Linked DNA regions of Arabidopsis thaliana. The main gene of each other region encodes a partner of the protein of the gene in region 2 in a complex. Each region holds a gene or a part of one and is shown on either strand. Other genes may lie near its edges.

Region 1 (6,025 bases), on a different chromosome or scaffold from region 2:
TCTTTACACTACTTAGCTAAGTTTCACTTCAATTGTTTGGTGTTGCAACACATTTTACTAGTCGGTTCTTGCGAATCTTCCGAAATTTTGTTGCAACAGTTTCTCATTATTATTACTAGCAGTTTCGTCTGTTATCATTGATCATTTCTTAAATTCGCATAAGTTTTGATCGTTCAAGAATAAAAATTAAACAACGAATGGGAAAATGTTATATGTAACTACTAGTTTCATCTGAGAAATCATGAGGGGAAAATGTTGTGGCTGGGACTTCGTGCAATCCCGAGAGTTCAGACAGTGTTGGAAGTGGAACTTGAAGCTATGAGATGGGCAGCTCTTTCAATGTCAAGATTTAACTATAAGAAAGTCATCTTTGAATCAGATTCCCAACATCTAGTGTCTCTGTTAGGGGATGATACTGATTATCCAAATTTGGCCCCAAGAATTCAGGACATTAGACATATATTCCAACAATTTGAGGAGGTGAAGGTGATGCATATAAAGCGTGAAGGAAACAGTGTGGCAGATAGAATTGCTAGGGAATCTCTTTCTTTATTGAATTATGATCCTAAAATGTATTCTAAAGGTGCCGGCTTGGATAAAAGATTGTGTGTATTCAGACTCTGTGTAATCACCGTTTGGTAAATGAGAAGTTGTTGTTGAGCCAAAAAAAAAAAAAAAACTACTAGTTTCATCATTCTCTTGCACAAGAAAGGTTCATCTATGCATAAAATAATTTGTTCTGAGGTAAAAATGTACCCTGAACCTCTTTTCAACTTTCTTAAAAATCCTCATTCAATGCCTAATCTTTTCCTCTCTGAATCAATTAACCTAAAGACATAGACATGAATTTGCAAGAAAGTAAATAAGGTGAAAATGACTGTCCCCAAAACACAGCAATTTGGCAAAAACTTTGGCATGAGACTCGATCCGTTGCTCGGCTAATACAAATTAATCATCATGAGGCGATCTCACGGCTTGGGAGTCAATCAGACAGGAACAGACATGCCTTTCTTGGCCATCCCATCCAGAATGTCATTGAGAGCTTGGCATAATCCCGATATCTGCACAGATTCCACTTTTCAGTCATATTCCACGCCAATAAAACAAACAATCATATATAGTTGCTCTAAAGAGACAAAGAGTGGGAGGGAGAGATAGAAAACCTGTTGATCCCATTGTTGTAGTTCCTCCACGTCATCCTCAAAATGAATCACAGCCTCCTCCTGAACAGTAACATAAAATATTAAAACACGTCTAGGAACCTCCTTCTAGAAAATCAACACTAACGAGAATTCTCTTCAGGGCTCTTACATAGCTCAACCAACAAAGTATTTTTTATTGCTTACCTGATCTATGGAACCCCTCATTCGGTCTTGCCCAATCATATTAGCTGCTATCTTCTCCGCTTTTCTTGGATCAATCGCCAACAGAGTTCCCAATTCATCAAACCTAGGATATAAAATAGTTGAGAAAATCAAACAAGTCTAGACACACAAAGAAGATACTAATTCGACATCTCATACCTTATGTTTGTGTAGAGTTTGCTTGCACTAAGAAGGTTATGCTCAATCATAGCACGGTCAAGAACAGTGGATTTGTCAGGCAAAGATGCTTTCTGTTGAAATCAACAGTGTAATAACTTGTTATGAACCTACTTACCAACTCAGATGTTATCCAAAAACTACATCTAAATCTTAATTCACAGTCCATACCTGATGTGGCCTTAGTTCTTCTGAAAAGGCATCAATCTCTGGTCTCCTTAAAATCCTTTCCAGATACACCTATAAAGTTGCATTAAAAAACAAAAAGTTACCATGCATTTCTAACCAAGCCTCTATAAGCTATGGTGAACTTGTTTGATTTGATAATGAATCAAATCTAATAAACATCATGCCGGCTTAAACAAGAGTAATATGTGAGTTCAAACAATACTATATGTCCAATAGCATGAAAATGTATGTTTGTCTACTAGAGGAAACAGTTGTAGGTAATAAGAGATAGAACCTTCTGCAGGATAGGATAAATCTTCAGCTTGGAGCAACGCTCATCCTGTTAATAGAAAGATATTGAGAAATAAAAAACAATAAATAAGCAAGCAGGAAAGTATTCTATTTGTAATCCAAAAGGGAATTACTTTGTATAAAGTTGCAAGAACACGAGAACGCTGAGGACCAGCTCCAGCTAATATGGTACATGTGACAGCAGCTGATAGGGCCTGCTCTAAAGCATTCTCATCAATCTCTCTGAAAAGATTAGAAAACACATTATAACCGTTTCAGAATATGAGATATCACAAAGGTATTGGAGAGAGAAAAGAGGAACACTATTCAATCACAGAGAGGGGAAAAGTAGGAAACTAGCTTTAAATACAGAGTCTCCAAAGATGGATAGAAGATTAATTAATCATTATTCCATCCGAACAAGAAACCAACAGAGGAGAATTTGAAGAAAAGATGTAGCAGAAAGATAAGTCAGTTCACTTACTCATCCCCTATTTGGCGTTGCTCAATCTGAGATATGCCGTAATACCGAAGTGCAGCCTCTAAAAACTTTCTTTTCATGTCCAAAATTCTAGCATAGCAGACCTGAAACAGAAATATATTAAAACTTGAAAACGAATGCTCCTTAATCACCCAGCACATAAATTCTTAGTTTACTTTAAGGTGGTCCAACCTTGTACTGCAAATTCAAAACTTCATTCTGACTATTGCTCACTAAGAAAGAAGCTTTATTTATAAAAGCCTCTGCATTTACAGCATCATCATCCTGAAAATTTCAAAACACAAAAGTATTAGAGAACAATAAAAATTTAACTAAATGTATTTATACAACTCTGCTAGCCTCAATTTACTCTCACAAGCAATAAATAAAAAAGTGATGTAGTGAAGCAGAATAATGCTCTTAACAGTCGATATTCCTAATTTCATGACACTTAGATTTGGTCAAGAGACTTAACTTTAAATAAAATCTCTCTAGAAAAATGTCCAAATATTTGAAGATTGAATCAACATTCAACAACGGGTTTCTTTTGTGCTTTTAAGATCTAACTTCTGTAACTGATTGACACGCACCCACAGAAGGAAACAAGACAAACTAGCTATAAATCATTACTGCGATGCGTAAATTCATCTCATAAACAGAGATAACCGATTTACATGCTTAAAAATTAATGAAAAGGACACAGAATCTATTGTGCATATGTACATGAAAGGGAAAGACAAACCTCGAGATACAAACGAGCAATTTGGATACACTTTGAAAGCTTGAAGTTGTCGTCAACGGCCCTAATAAAGAATTCCGCAAATCCAAAATAAGCAACACAAAAGAACATAGAGAGGAAACTAAAACAAAATTCTGCTCAATGCCACACACCTCATTCCAGAATCCAGATCAATTCCACTCAACATCTGTGCTGCTTTTGACCATTCCTGCTCTGATTCATACAAACCCGCAAGTTTTTCTCTGATAACAAGTGCCTGCAAATACACCACAAACAGTTTCATCTCTTAGAATAAAGAGATTGAAAAACAACACAACGTACATTGTCTCAGTTATCCCAAAATACAGCATCCTTAGTAAACAAATATCTCAAATTAGCTTTCAGTGTAGATTTCACATACCAAAGCGGTACAATAGCAAAGCGACTCTACATACCTCTCAACTTATGTTAAGTAGGTAAACTAATTAGGGTTTAAAAAGTACACGATTGCTGCTAAACAGTAAGGTATCACGAAGAGAAAACAAACCTGTTCCTCAAAGGAAACAACTCTAGGCTGAATCTGGGTAAGAGTAAATTGAGCAATCTCCTTCTGCGTCTCCGGTTCTAATCTCCCAAGCTCTTGTGCGAAAGACTGCAAAAGCTGCCTCGAAACCACCAACGGGACATCATCGGAAAGAACTGGAAAAATTGTGAGGAAGCAAAAATCAAAATCAAACCAGAAATTCTGATATAAACCGAATTCCATAAGAACAAAAAGCAGTTGTCGAATCTCTTATGAAGTTGAAACCATGAGAAAGAAGGGAGATGCGAAATTACTGTGATCGATGAATCTCTGAGCTTGGAGAAGATCGTTGGAAGAGAGAACAGAGGAGAGGATGAGTTTGTACTGTTCGATTTTCTGGCGTTGGTCACCGATTGCAGAAGCGTTCGTCAAAGCTTCATCCATGGCTTCTCTTCTGAGATTTTCTCTCCCGCTTCGATTGAAACCCTAAGAAACCTTACAAGGTTTTGATTTCTCTCTCGCTTTTTTTTTTTTTTTTTTTGGAGTTTGCTCTCTTTTTATATTAAAAAAATAAACGGGGACTAGATTCTGTGCCGGTGATCGGAGAGGCGCTTTACAAAATTTACTTAATATGGTCACAACTCATATGAGATTAGTACCCAAAATAAATTAAAATATATATATATATATATTAAGCATAAATACTATATTTTTTTTTGTTAGTTCATAAATTTTATAATTAATTTGTGATGGTAAGTTTACCAAATTGATTGTAGATTAAAAAAAAAAATCAACAAATAATATATTGTTTAGAAATATTTTTATATGTGAGCCTAAATTACTACAGTAAATCTTTTACACAAATAAAAAAACACGTCGTGATTTGGAAAACACGATGATGAGGTATTTTATGATGACAATACCACGTTTAATATTATGATACCAGATCGGAAAAAGATGATATGTTATGTGTTTTAGAGCTTAGGGAGCAATTTAAGATGGAAACGTAAATAATTATTTGTTGAGAAAGAATCGACTAGAAGCAATCGAAAAATTGATCGAATGGTCAAGATATGACCGAGAAGTCATCGGAAAAGTTGTGAGCCCAAATCTTGAGAGCAATGACATGCAAAATGTTTTGAAAGTGCTCTCATGAATTAAAAGTGAAAAAAGAACCACTCTCTCGTTACATAGAGGGTAGTATATAAAGAAATTTACCTATCTCAGACTAGGAAACCAAGTCTCGCATTGGAATACGACTTTGGTTTAAACATGTGAGCTGACTGACAAATCGATTTTATGTGCTTTACAACTTAGATATAACTGAACATATTGGTATTGGATGAGGTTGGACGATAGACTCATAGACACAATCGTTGTCTCGAAAAATCACGAGTTTCTCTCGCTTAAAGGATTTTTTTTGATGAAGTTTATGGTGATCCCGTTCGAGAACATCACAATTGTTTTTGAATCAACTTTACAGATCCATATTGTAACTAATGATTATAGACTACATAGTTTACCAAAATTACATTTACTCAAAAGAACAGATGCGGTTGTTGATGGCAAAACTTTTTTGGAATGGTAGACATCCCATTGAAAGAAAACAAATTGCCATGGTATGGAATTCATGATAATGATTTAACTCGTTATAGTCTGGACAAATTGTCATGGTAGGGTTTCATTGCTCTTTCTTTGGGTAGTTACCTCAAGATATCTCTTTGTTCTTCCTTGTGATAGTTCCACCTTGATATGTACAACCCCACATTAATCTGCTCATTTCAACATTAATTTTCTCTATTGTTTTTAAATTGTGTGTATAAGATTATTTCACTAACTAGGAAAACAATCCATTTCTTTGACACATGGGCTTTACTTAAACAAAAGCCCAATAACTTGTGTTTAGAAGTCACATGATCAAATCTCAAGACCTATTATAAATTAACAAATTTCATATTGATAAATTTTAAAAGATTTCCTATTACAATATTTAAAGTTGCTACAAATTATAGATTCTTTTGATCTTTTCTGATATTGTTTCTCAAATAAAATATAGGAATACCAAATTACAATATGAAAGTTGCTTCAAATTATAGATTCTTTTCTGATTTTGTTTCTCAAATAAAATATAGGACTGAACTACCAAAGGCAATAATATTCAATGTGACCAACAAAAAAAAAATAAAAAATAAAAAGAAATACTCAAATCTCATAACCTTTTTGACTAAATATATCAATTTCTTCTATTTTCAATGAGCATAAATTACACGCGTCCTCAGAAGCTGAATCCGATTTGCAATTCT
Region 2 (4,427 bases):
AATTTGTATTAATCTTTTGAAGAGTTTATTTCTAATATTTCTACAGTATCAATTTTTTTTTCTTTTTGTTTTCTAGACTTAATAATTATTTACTTTTTATATTTTTCATTATTTTTAAAAGGATGTTGATTATAACTACAAAAACTGCTTTTCACATAAACCAGTTTTAAAAATTATAAAAGAATAGTAAAATCTCTCAATAAATTTAAAATTGTTCATTTATCGATAATTTAATAATAAATTAAGAATTATTAATCTCTGATAACCCCAGCTTGTCATCTACTAGATCGACAAATGGCTCCTATTCTTCTAGAGTACCTCTCCGGTTTGAAGATTATCATCTTTTATCTCAGAGATTGGCTAGCTTGTTATAGTCGCTAAAATGATCTTCTCTTGTTTCTGCCTAATTTTGTTCTGAAAACGTGTGTTATTTAGGCTGTGTCCTTTTTGGCTCATAATATTGACTTCATCTTTTGTTTGTTTCAGTTCGTCTTTTGTGTAAACTGATCTTTTAAATGTTTGTTTTAGTTCGCCTGTTGGTGTAAACTGATCTTATAAGAGTAAAATTGGTAGGAGTTATTCATCATATACTCAAAGAGTCAAGATATGTTGCAACTTAGAATCAGTCATTGTGAAATCTCTCAAAAACGAATTCTGTTCTTAGAATTTCACTATCTTAATAGGAGATCGGCACTTAGTTTTAATGTTCAAGGTGGAACACATACTCCGTCAAGCGTTGTAGCTTCGATGAATCCACCTTTTGCTCTCTTTTAACAGCTTGTTTCTTCACACTCGCCATTTGAGAAGCTGCATCCACTGTCCATCCATTCTCTACAACATCTGTGTATATATCCAGCAATAAAGAAAACAATTATACTGTTAATTCTGATTCCGTAACATATATGGTTGTCATAAGATTCATGCCTACAATAACACTAAGCTAAGACATTGCCACAAACTCTTCGACATTTTTCAAAAGTATCAATATAAGAATCAATTCAGTAGAATTCAATAGAAATGTGAAATGAGGTACTTAATCTTTTGTAAGCAAAGGAAATTGCAGAAAGAAGCTTACAAGTTGTGGCATCATCCTCCGTCATCCCTAGGAAAAGAGCTAAATCATGGATGGTAATTGTGGAGTAGGCAGACAACAAAAGCTGAAACATCCTTTTTGTGTAAAGATCTACAACAAAACCAATTCAGAAATAGAATTAGAATCTGATGGAAAGTGACCCATAAAGGTCAGGTGTTGAACAATTGATGTGGAAAAAGGTACAACTTCACAAAATTCAGATCAACGTTTAGACATTTGGTTGGAAAAGTCTGTCAACTGCTTACTCGTTCCTCCTGTGTGAGTCTACCTACCTCTCTCTCAGTTAGACCACAGAAGCAACTACTTTCTAATGAAGAAGTGATAAGGCACATACATTGATGAAATTTGATTCAAATTCGAGTTCCAATAGTTCAATGATAAGATGAAAGGTGGTTCTGTGCATAACAGAAATCCTAAACTAGGCCTCACAAGTTAAAACAATAAAACAACTATTCGATCTCAATATGTATATCAAAGCTCAAAACCTAAAGAGGGATATGAAGTAATAAAAGTACACAACTACATAAGCAATCAACAAGCTTAGTTCAAGAAACCAATTCATACTAGCTAAGAAGTCATAAACAGAGAAAAAATTTACCTGAGAAGGCAGCAACCATATCTTTAGCTTCTTGACTCCAATCATAACCCCGAATAGCTTCATATACACCTGCATAGTCGTGTGTCCACAGCTTCTGACCAATCCCCCAAGCTGCAACAACTTCAGGCTTCCTCTCCTTGATAGCTGTAGGTATCCTTTTCCAGAGGAAACGTGCGCTATCACTGCAGTATTTCCAAACAAGCACAGCAAAACATCAAAACCAAATCCATAGTCAAGAAGGCACAACCATAACTCAATAGTTTCAACATACTACACTCACTATCAATACACAAAGGAAAAAAATGTTAAATGGGTCTCAACAACTACTAACTTGTGTCAAGTTTTAATTTTTCAAATCACTGGATAGAAACAAGGTAATGTAAAAAGCAGACTTTAGACCTTAGATTCAACCTAGGACCTAGCAATCGAAGTAGTAAGAACAACTTTGACGCGCTAAAATTCACAAGAGTTCAACGAAACAATCTCTAATTTCATAAAGGAACTAACTTTAGGTTCACAACGCAAACAAATACATCAAAGAAGAAAATAAACTCACCAATCGTCAACGTAAAAGTAACCCAGAAGATGGATTGCGTAAGGCCAATCATCATGATATTCAATTCCTTCGGAAGCAACCTATAAAAAAAATTAAGAAGCGATAAATCGAACGATTAACACCACAAAATCCACTTCACAAAACCCTAATGAACATCAGAAACAACGACAGCGAGAGAAATTACGAACCTGAAGCATGAGAGTATCGCAGATATCGGCGATTTTGTCAAAGGATTTGGCGGCCAAAGCTTCCTTAACAGGCGAAAGATCCATGACTTGTTTCGATTGCACTACTCTCGAAGCTTTTGCGAAGATGACAATTCTACTCCCAAAACCACTCCAGGGAAAAGAAAAATAAATTCTGTGAGATTTACAGGTTTTAATAATCTTTTCAATACGGTTTACTTAAACCGACCAAAAAATTGACCAAACACAAGAGGATAAATGGGCCAAGCCCACTAAGCCTTAGTTTCCCGCCAAACATCATAAAGCCACCCGGTCTGTTCCCGCCAAAATAACAAACAGTCTCTCTCACTCTCACACACACTCTCTCTCTCTCTCTGTAGCTCTCTCTTGGCGCGAGTTCTACCATGGCCGAATCAGATCCTATATTGAGGAAGAAGATGCGATTTTCGTCTTCTTCAGTTCGTTATACTACCTCTCAGAACCTTATGGCAAGCAAATTACGAACTCAGAGCAATCGTTCCTCCGTTCGATTTGCATCCCCATTGTCTCACATTGTCACGGATCTTCGTCACCATCATGCGTCACCGATCAAAGGGAAAATTGTTACTCAAATGCCCCGAACTTGTTCTCGTGTCACCGTGAAGAATCTGTGTCTCAGACGCGTATTCTCTCCTAGTTCCATCTCTAGTGATTGGGACTTTCATGTGAAAGGGGGAAATCTAACCAAGGAGCTAAATGTGGAATCTCCTTGCGATACTCCGAATTCTAATGGTAATTCTTATTTTAAGGTCTTTTTCTTGTACAAGTTTTTCTAAGAAAATTTAGGAGAATGTTGATATAATGAAGGTGGAATTAGGAAATTTCAATATCTGTTTAGAAACTATAATGATTACACAATGGTGAAAACAGTTATGAGAGAAGGAAGCAAATATCTTGTTGATGGATTAGTGGCTACTGGAGGTGATTTAGAAGTAGTGGAATGCTCACAAACGACGCCACCGGATTTAGGAATGTTCACCGGTGAGCTTTCTTTGGTGAAAAATGAAGCAGGTTCTATCAATCAAGAGATCAGTGAGGTCTCTGGGAAGAAAGTTGGTACCAATCTCGGCAGCAAAGTGGTATGTTTTTTACTCATGGTTTTATAGCAAATGATGCGTTTAAACTACAATATTGGCTTTTCGTTGGTTGCTTAATTTTCTTCTTGTGATATGTATACAGATTCGTCATCCGGAAAAGATTTTCAAGAACCCTGGCTCTGTGAGCTATAGAAGAATGCTTCCTTACTTGATGGAAGCTGCAGATGTTACCCGAGATGGTGATGCAAAAGATCCTAAGGATGAAAGAGGTGAATTGATGGCAGCAAATTACCGACTTCCTGAAACCGTATCTGCCAATAGCTTTGTTAAAGCTCATGGAAACAATAGCCCTTTCAAGAAGATGACTTCATCCAGTGGCAACAAAATTTCTGTATGATCTGTTTTTTTTTAAGAAGCTGCAGTCTTGTTCCTTATTTAAGAATCTGTTTTTGACATTTTCCCTGTTGTGACATGAAACAGCTGTGCTGCCGGCGCAAGCTATTTAAAGTGCCAGGTTCTGTAAATTACAGAAGAATGCTTTCATATCTCAAAGAGAACTCAGAGGATAATCATGGTTAGTCTCTTTATATTCATGTTTAGCACACGGTATAATTCAATGTCAGTACTAGTCAGATAATAATACTGTCTTCTGTGGCTTGGTAAATTGTAAGATAGTATAAATGCATGATATTAGCTTGTATTGAAATTATAAAGTCAGAATTGGTAGCCTTAGAAATTGATGTCTCTTTTCTTTCATTGTTCTTCTAGGAACTCCTGAAACCACGCATACAGATCCTCAGAAGAATATAGAGGAGAATGCTTCAGCTATTGAGGCTAAAGGGGCATCAAATGAAGTTACAGATTTAGATACATGCTCTAACAACGTTGAGACGCCACTAGCTGATCCAAAGAATGAGCA
Region 3 (4,388 bases), on a different chromosome or scaffold from region 2:
CCTCCACCCCAAGAAGCAAGGGTTTGCGATATTCCATAGTGAAAAAGGCTACAGAGTCACTTTTCACTGTAAACCTATATAGCTCCCATGTTGAACCATTGTTCATAGCAAAACGTGGTATAAATTTATCACGTACATAGTTCCTTCGATGCCGTTCTTTAACCAGTTTCCAAACCCCTTGGTCGGGCACGAACAGCGCGAGAAACAGCCATATGCTATGTTTCTCGCTACATGTCAAATTTGTAGGAAACATATCCGTGCGGAGCTATAGACAATAACTGACTGTTTTCTTGAAGGTTTGGTATCCCCGGACTTCCACGAAGCTCCGGATAACTAAGGCTTTCTAAGATTCTCCGCAATACTACGTCTTCAAGTGTATAAGTTTGCCATGTTGTGTGAAGTGCGTTCTTGATAAGCTTGTTGAAGATGGTCAGGTTGGCAGTACATAGCTCCTTGTGGGCGTCGTCGTCGACAGTCCCATAAGGAACACTTTTCATCAACAAACAAAGACAGAGAAAGATGATTGCCATTGTTAGCCATGTTTTAGTACCACCTATTCACGGACAACGTGAGTGCAGAGAAGGAAAGAGAGAGGGGATAGAGTTGGAAAAGATCACTAGGTTTCTGATTTCCATAAATACAATTTTTGTTTAAGGGCTTAAGATTATTCCTTTAACCCCGACGAATCGAATGGGCTTAAAAACATTTCTTTAACCAAAATCTTCTTCTGTATTATTCTCATTAGCATTATAATTCTTTACACAACAGAAAATAAATGAAAGGACAACAAATGATGGGTCAATCCAAAACTAGAAACCAAAAGAAGAGCAACTTCAATATGTAATCATAGGGTCTGGATCCGACGAGTCAGTGGGAGATTTGTTGTTGGACTGACGCATTGAGTTGAATAATTCATCTTTTATGACCTACAAGTACAACAATGATGGATTTTGAGTCTGTGAAATACACGAACCTTAAGGGAGATATGTCACCATTTCGTTTCAATATTATTACTCACCTGCGACATTAGTCCATGGACCTGTTCCACAGTTATCTTTGCGCTATCCCGAGTTATCTTAGTTAGTTGAGACTCATCCTGAAAGTGATTTAGAACACACGTCAAATGAGATCTTTAACAAGCAACACCCATTAACATTCTCGAAAGTTATATATCTGTACAACCTTCAACAACACTTTCATTTCAACTAAACAGAACACCTCCAGGTCCCAATAACCAAAACATTTGAAGATATATCCTCTTAGTAGCTAGATGTTTACAGAGGCACTTAACTAGCCACCGTAATCGCAATTAAAATTTGATGAACCACTAGGACATACCTCTTTTTTCTTATGAAGGGATGATGGCACAACTCCTCCAAAGCGAGACTGAACCAGATGACTCTCGGCTTGCTCAAGCTTCTCAGCTTCATTGGTAAAATTACGAAAACGATTATATAACACATTACTTGACTGTGACTTGAGAAAAAAAAGTAAGAGTGAATGATTTAGGCCATATCCAAGAGTTTACCTAAGTCTGATATTTGTCCAGCAACATAGTCTCCATTACCCAGCAGTGGAGAAGAAGAAAGAGTGTTCACCCAGTACTTGTTCCATAGTAGATCCAGAAGGTGAGAATCAAGAGATGACTTGAAATAAGTGACATCTAATGAATAGTACTGCCAAAACCAAAAGCCAAACATAAGAATCATGTTGGGACCTTGCACCGAGAAAAATCAAGAAAATGTACCTGTTTGCAGTGAACACCAAAGTCCTCAATCTTATTTAAAGGAATAGTTTGATACTCAGAAACAGGTTCATCTGGAGGCTTATATCCTTTAGAGTATGTTCTGAAAGCACCAATCTCAACCTTACCAGCTGAAACAGTCCTTGTGGGATCAATAACAACAGCTAAAAATGGCTCCTGATGCTGTTGGTTAAGCCTCTGCGTAGAAACATCAATACCGGAGAGCCAGCATCCATATCCAGGGTGAGAGTGATACCATCCAACAACATTCTCCAGCCGCCCCGCCTTATAAAGGTCAAGTTATTATAACCATAATCAATCAAACTGTTCTGACTTATATACAAACTTTCTAAAGAAAAAAATCAAAACTTTGAAGTTTCTTGAATCTCACTTACGAGCTTGTTGGTCTGTGAATACTCAACCATGTACTCATAAGCATCATCCTGAGCATTAACCCTTGTCTCAGTACCTTCCACTGGTAAAGCAAAAGCATCCATAACAATGATAGTATCACCATCGGTCTTACCTTGCATAAGACCCATTATTTCAATTGTACCACCAGAGCGAGCGTGAACCACCATCTTAAGAAGAGCGAGCGCTGAGATCTTGACTCGTTTAAAGTAGTGAGGATCATTCTCCCACGGTTTCTCTTGCTGGAACCTAGTCTGTGAAGTATCGTCGTAGTAGAAGATGTTGTCGGAGGTTGAATCAGGTGAGTCTACTGTTAGAATGCTGTTCTCTAGTTCCCATGTCTTCCTTGCTATCGTCGACGACGAACCCTCCATTCTTTTTCGAATTAGGAATTCAGTTGCAGAAATCTAGGGTTTCATACGGAATCGATGGAGTGTGATCGATCTGTCTGCTGAAGAATTGAAAACTGTGTCAAAAATGTTACTTCGGGGATTGACTTATATATAAGAAGAGAAAAGTGGTGAAAATTAATTCCTCTGGATTCTTCTCTAATTTAGAAATAAAATTTAAAATCCTTTTAGTTTGTTTTTTTTTTTTTTTTTTTGACGGTATTAAAATCTTTTAATTGAATAACACAAAATTTTAAAATCTATTAAACATGATTTACAAAGATATAAACTCCAATAACACTAAATTTTAAAATTGAATTTAAAATCATTAATTAAATAACAGTGTATTAGTGTTGGATTTCTTTCTATTAAAATCCATTAATAAATAACGTCCCCTTGTAAAACCGTAGATTTCTTCCCTCTTCTAAAATAATTTATTGAATTACTTCAGCTTTTCTATCAGAGTGTCAGACCCTTTGCTAAAAGAACACGTATTGCTTTTTATACAGACACTGACACGTCAGTTTTCCGGTTCGGTTTTTTTACTGGTTTGTCGGTTTGGTTTGATTTGAGATTTTGGACGGACGAGTTTACAAATACGTTATGAGTGACTATGTTTGTAATTGATTCAAAATCATATTATACTGATATTCTTATTCTCCTGCAATCTGTTGACTTTATCTTCTGTCTAATTTATGTGAGAGATGTCTAAGAAACTGTAGCTACAAAACTAGAAACCTTATCTAGCAAATGCAAAATAGCCATGATTGTCTAATTTATCTTCTCCTCTTTTGAAACTTCAGGAGCATTGAATTTACAGTTCTGCTTTAGATTCCAAGTCTTGTTCTGTATCTTCAGAGATGTCATTTGATGGAAGAGGATTAGGCTTGTCTGTAGCAGGAGCAGCTACTGGCTCGTTGAGTTCCACATCTTCACCCAAGATTTTTGCTGTGAATTTTCGTGCTTCGAGATCAAGATCGGGCCATTCGGTTACGATTCTTCGGGCACCCTGCAGAAGAACACCGCATTATAACAAACAACGCTTTGTGAGTGTTGTAGATATGAGGAAAGCCATCATTTTACCTGAAGCTTTGGTTCCTTTGTCATGGGATTATTGCAAAGATCGATTGTTCTGGCCTTGGCTTTTGTGGCGTTTCCACACCAGGATTCACACCACAACCACTCTTGGGGAAGTGAAAATATAGGAACAGTATGCTGAGCATAATTAGGAAGATCCTGAAACAAAATAATGACATGCCATCAATATGTTTGAACCTGGAACTCTAAAGATTCAGAGCATGGTGTATGGTAAGAGTCAAATGCAAAAGCCTTTCAAATAAAGTAAAACGATAGTGTGACCACCAAAGAAAGGTTACAGCCCTAAGTATAGAGAACCATATTATACAACTTGCCTGATCTAGGTTGGACAAACTGTTTGGATCCTTGCTAAGCGTCTCATAGAATACTCTTAGATTATCTCCTGCCGCTGTCTCTCGGAACTTAACCAAGTCAACAACGTATAGAGCACTACAGATAGAACAAGGCACATTAAGAATGGGAAAAGCAACAACTTACTGAGGTTCAAGTAGGTTTTTTTACCTGATATGGTATGGCCTACCACGTAAATGTTCTTTCCAGAAACCCTGTTCAAAGCAATTGAGAATGTAAGAGTATGGAAACCAAAACTACCTCTACAAGCAAAACAAAAAGATTAATGTTTACCTGTTTCCAAAATTTATAGCCATCCATTTCCCTGTTGTTGTCACAAAAAGGAGTATACGCGAGAGGTCTTCCTTTAATATCCATATCATACAGTTCTCCCATGTCTGTCCTTATAATTTGAT

What was found.
Region 1: COP9 (region 2) and COP8 share a complex: the UniProt entries of both Arabidopsis thaliana proteins name them as parts of the CSN complex.
Region 3: COP9 (region 2) and CSN5B share a complex: the UniProt entries of both Arabidopsis thaliana proteins name them as parts of the CSN complex.

Annotation. Positions count from the first base shown.
Region 1 is NC_003076.8:17,236,484-17,242,508, forward strand, and holds COP8 (Proteasome component (PCI) domain protein), read right to left. Parts: upstream 4,334-6,025; 5' UTR 4,167-4,333; coding exon 4,037-4,166; intron 3,899-4,036; coding exon 3,747-3,898; intron 3,477-3,746; coding exon 3,373-3,476; intron 3,285-3,372; coding exon 3,224-3,284; intron 2,767-3,223; coding exon 2,674-2,766; intron 2,586-2,673; coding exon 2,485-2,585; intron 2,244-2,484; coding exon 2,135-2,243; intron 2,050-2,134; coding exon 2,005-2,049; intron 1,782-2,004; coding exon 1,713-1,781; intron 1,616-1,712; coding exon 1,524-1,615; intron 1,450-1,523; coding exon 1,347-1,449; intron 1,224-1,346; coding exon 1,164-1,223; intron 1,062-1,163; coding exon 987-1,061; 3' UTR 670-986; downstream 1-669. Other genes in the region: AT5G42965 (Polynucleotidyl transferase, ribonuclease H-like superfamily protein), read left to right, coding at 253-642. UniProt on the Arabidopsis thaliana protein: Component of the COP9 signalosome complex (CSN), a complex involved in various cellular and developmental processes such as photomorphogenesis and auxin and jasmonate responses.
Region 2 is NC_003075.7:8,132,349-8,136,775, forward strand, and holds COP9 (COP9 signalosome, subunit CSN8), read right to left. Parts: upstream 2,641-4,427; 5' UTR 2,520-2,640; coding exon 2,436-2,519; intron 2,328-2,435; coding exon 2,248-2,327; intron 1,874-2,247; coding exon 1,692-1,873; intron 1,184-1,691; coding exon 1,076-1,183; intron 841-1,075; coding exon 701-840; 3' UTR 532-700; downstream 1-531. Other genes in the region: AT4G14120 (uncharacterized protein), read left to right, coding at 2,837-3,203, 3,342-3,550, 3,651-3,899, 3,989-4,082, 4,277-4,427. UniProt on the Arabidopsis thaliana protein: Component of the COP9 signalosome complex (CSN), a complex involved in various cellular and developmental processes such as photomorphogenesis and auxin and jasmonate responses.
Region 3 is NC_003070.9:26,850,701-26,855,088, reverse strand, and holds CSN5B (COP9-signalosome 5B), read right to left. Parts: upstream 2,684-4,388; 5' UTR 2,530-2,683; coding exon 2,140-2,529; intron 2,030-2,139; coding exon 1,748-2,029; intron 1,677-1,747; coding exon 1,529-1,676; intron 1,425-1,528; coding exon 1,339-1,424; intron 1,097-1,338; coding exon 1,019-1,096; intron 927-1,018; coding exon 834-926; 3' UTR 670-833; downstream 1-669. Other genes in the region: AT1G71235 (uncharacterized protein), read right to left, coding at 1-66, 284-530; EBS1 (EMS-MUTAGENIZED BRI1 SUPPRESSOR 1), read right to left, coding at 3,359-3,553, 3,628-3,780, 3,957-4,071, 4,144-4,187, 4,267-4,388. UniProt on the Arabidopsis thaliana protein: Probable protease subunit of the COP9 signalosome complex (CSN), a complex involved in various cellular and developmental processes such as photomorphogenesis and auxin and jasmonate responses.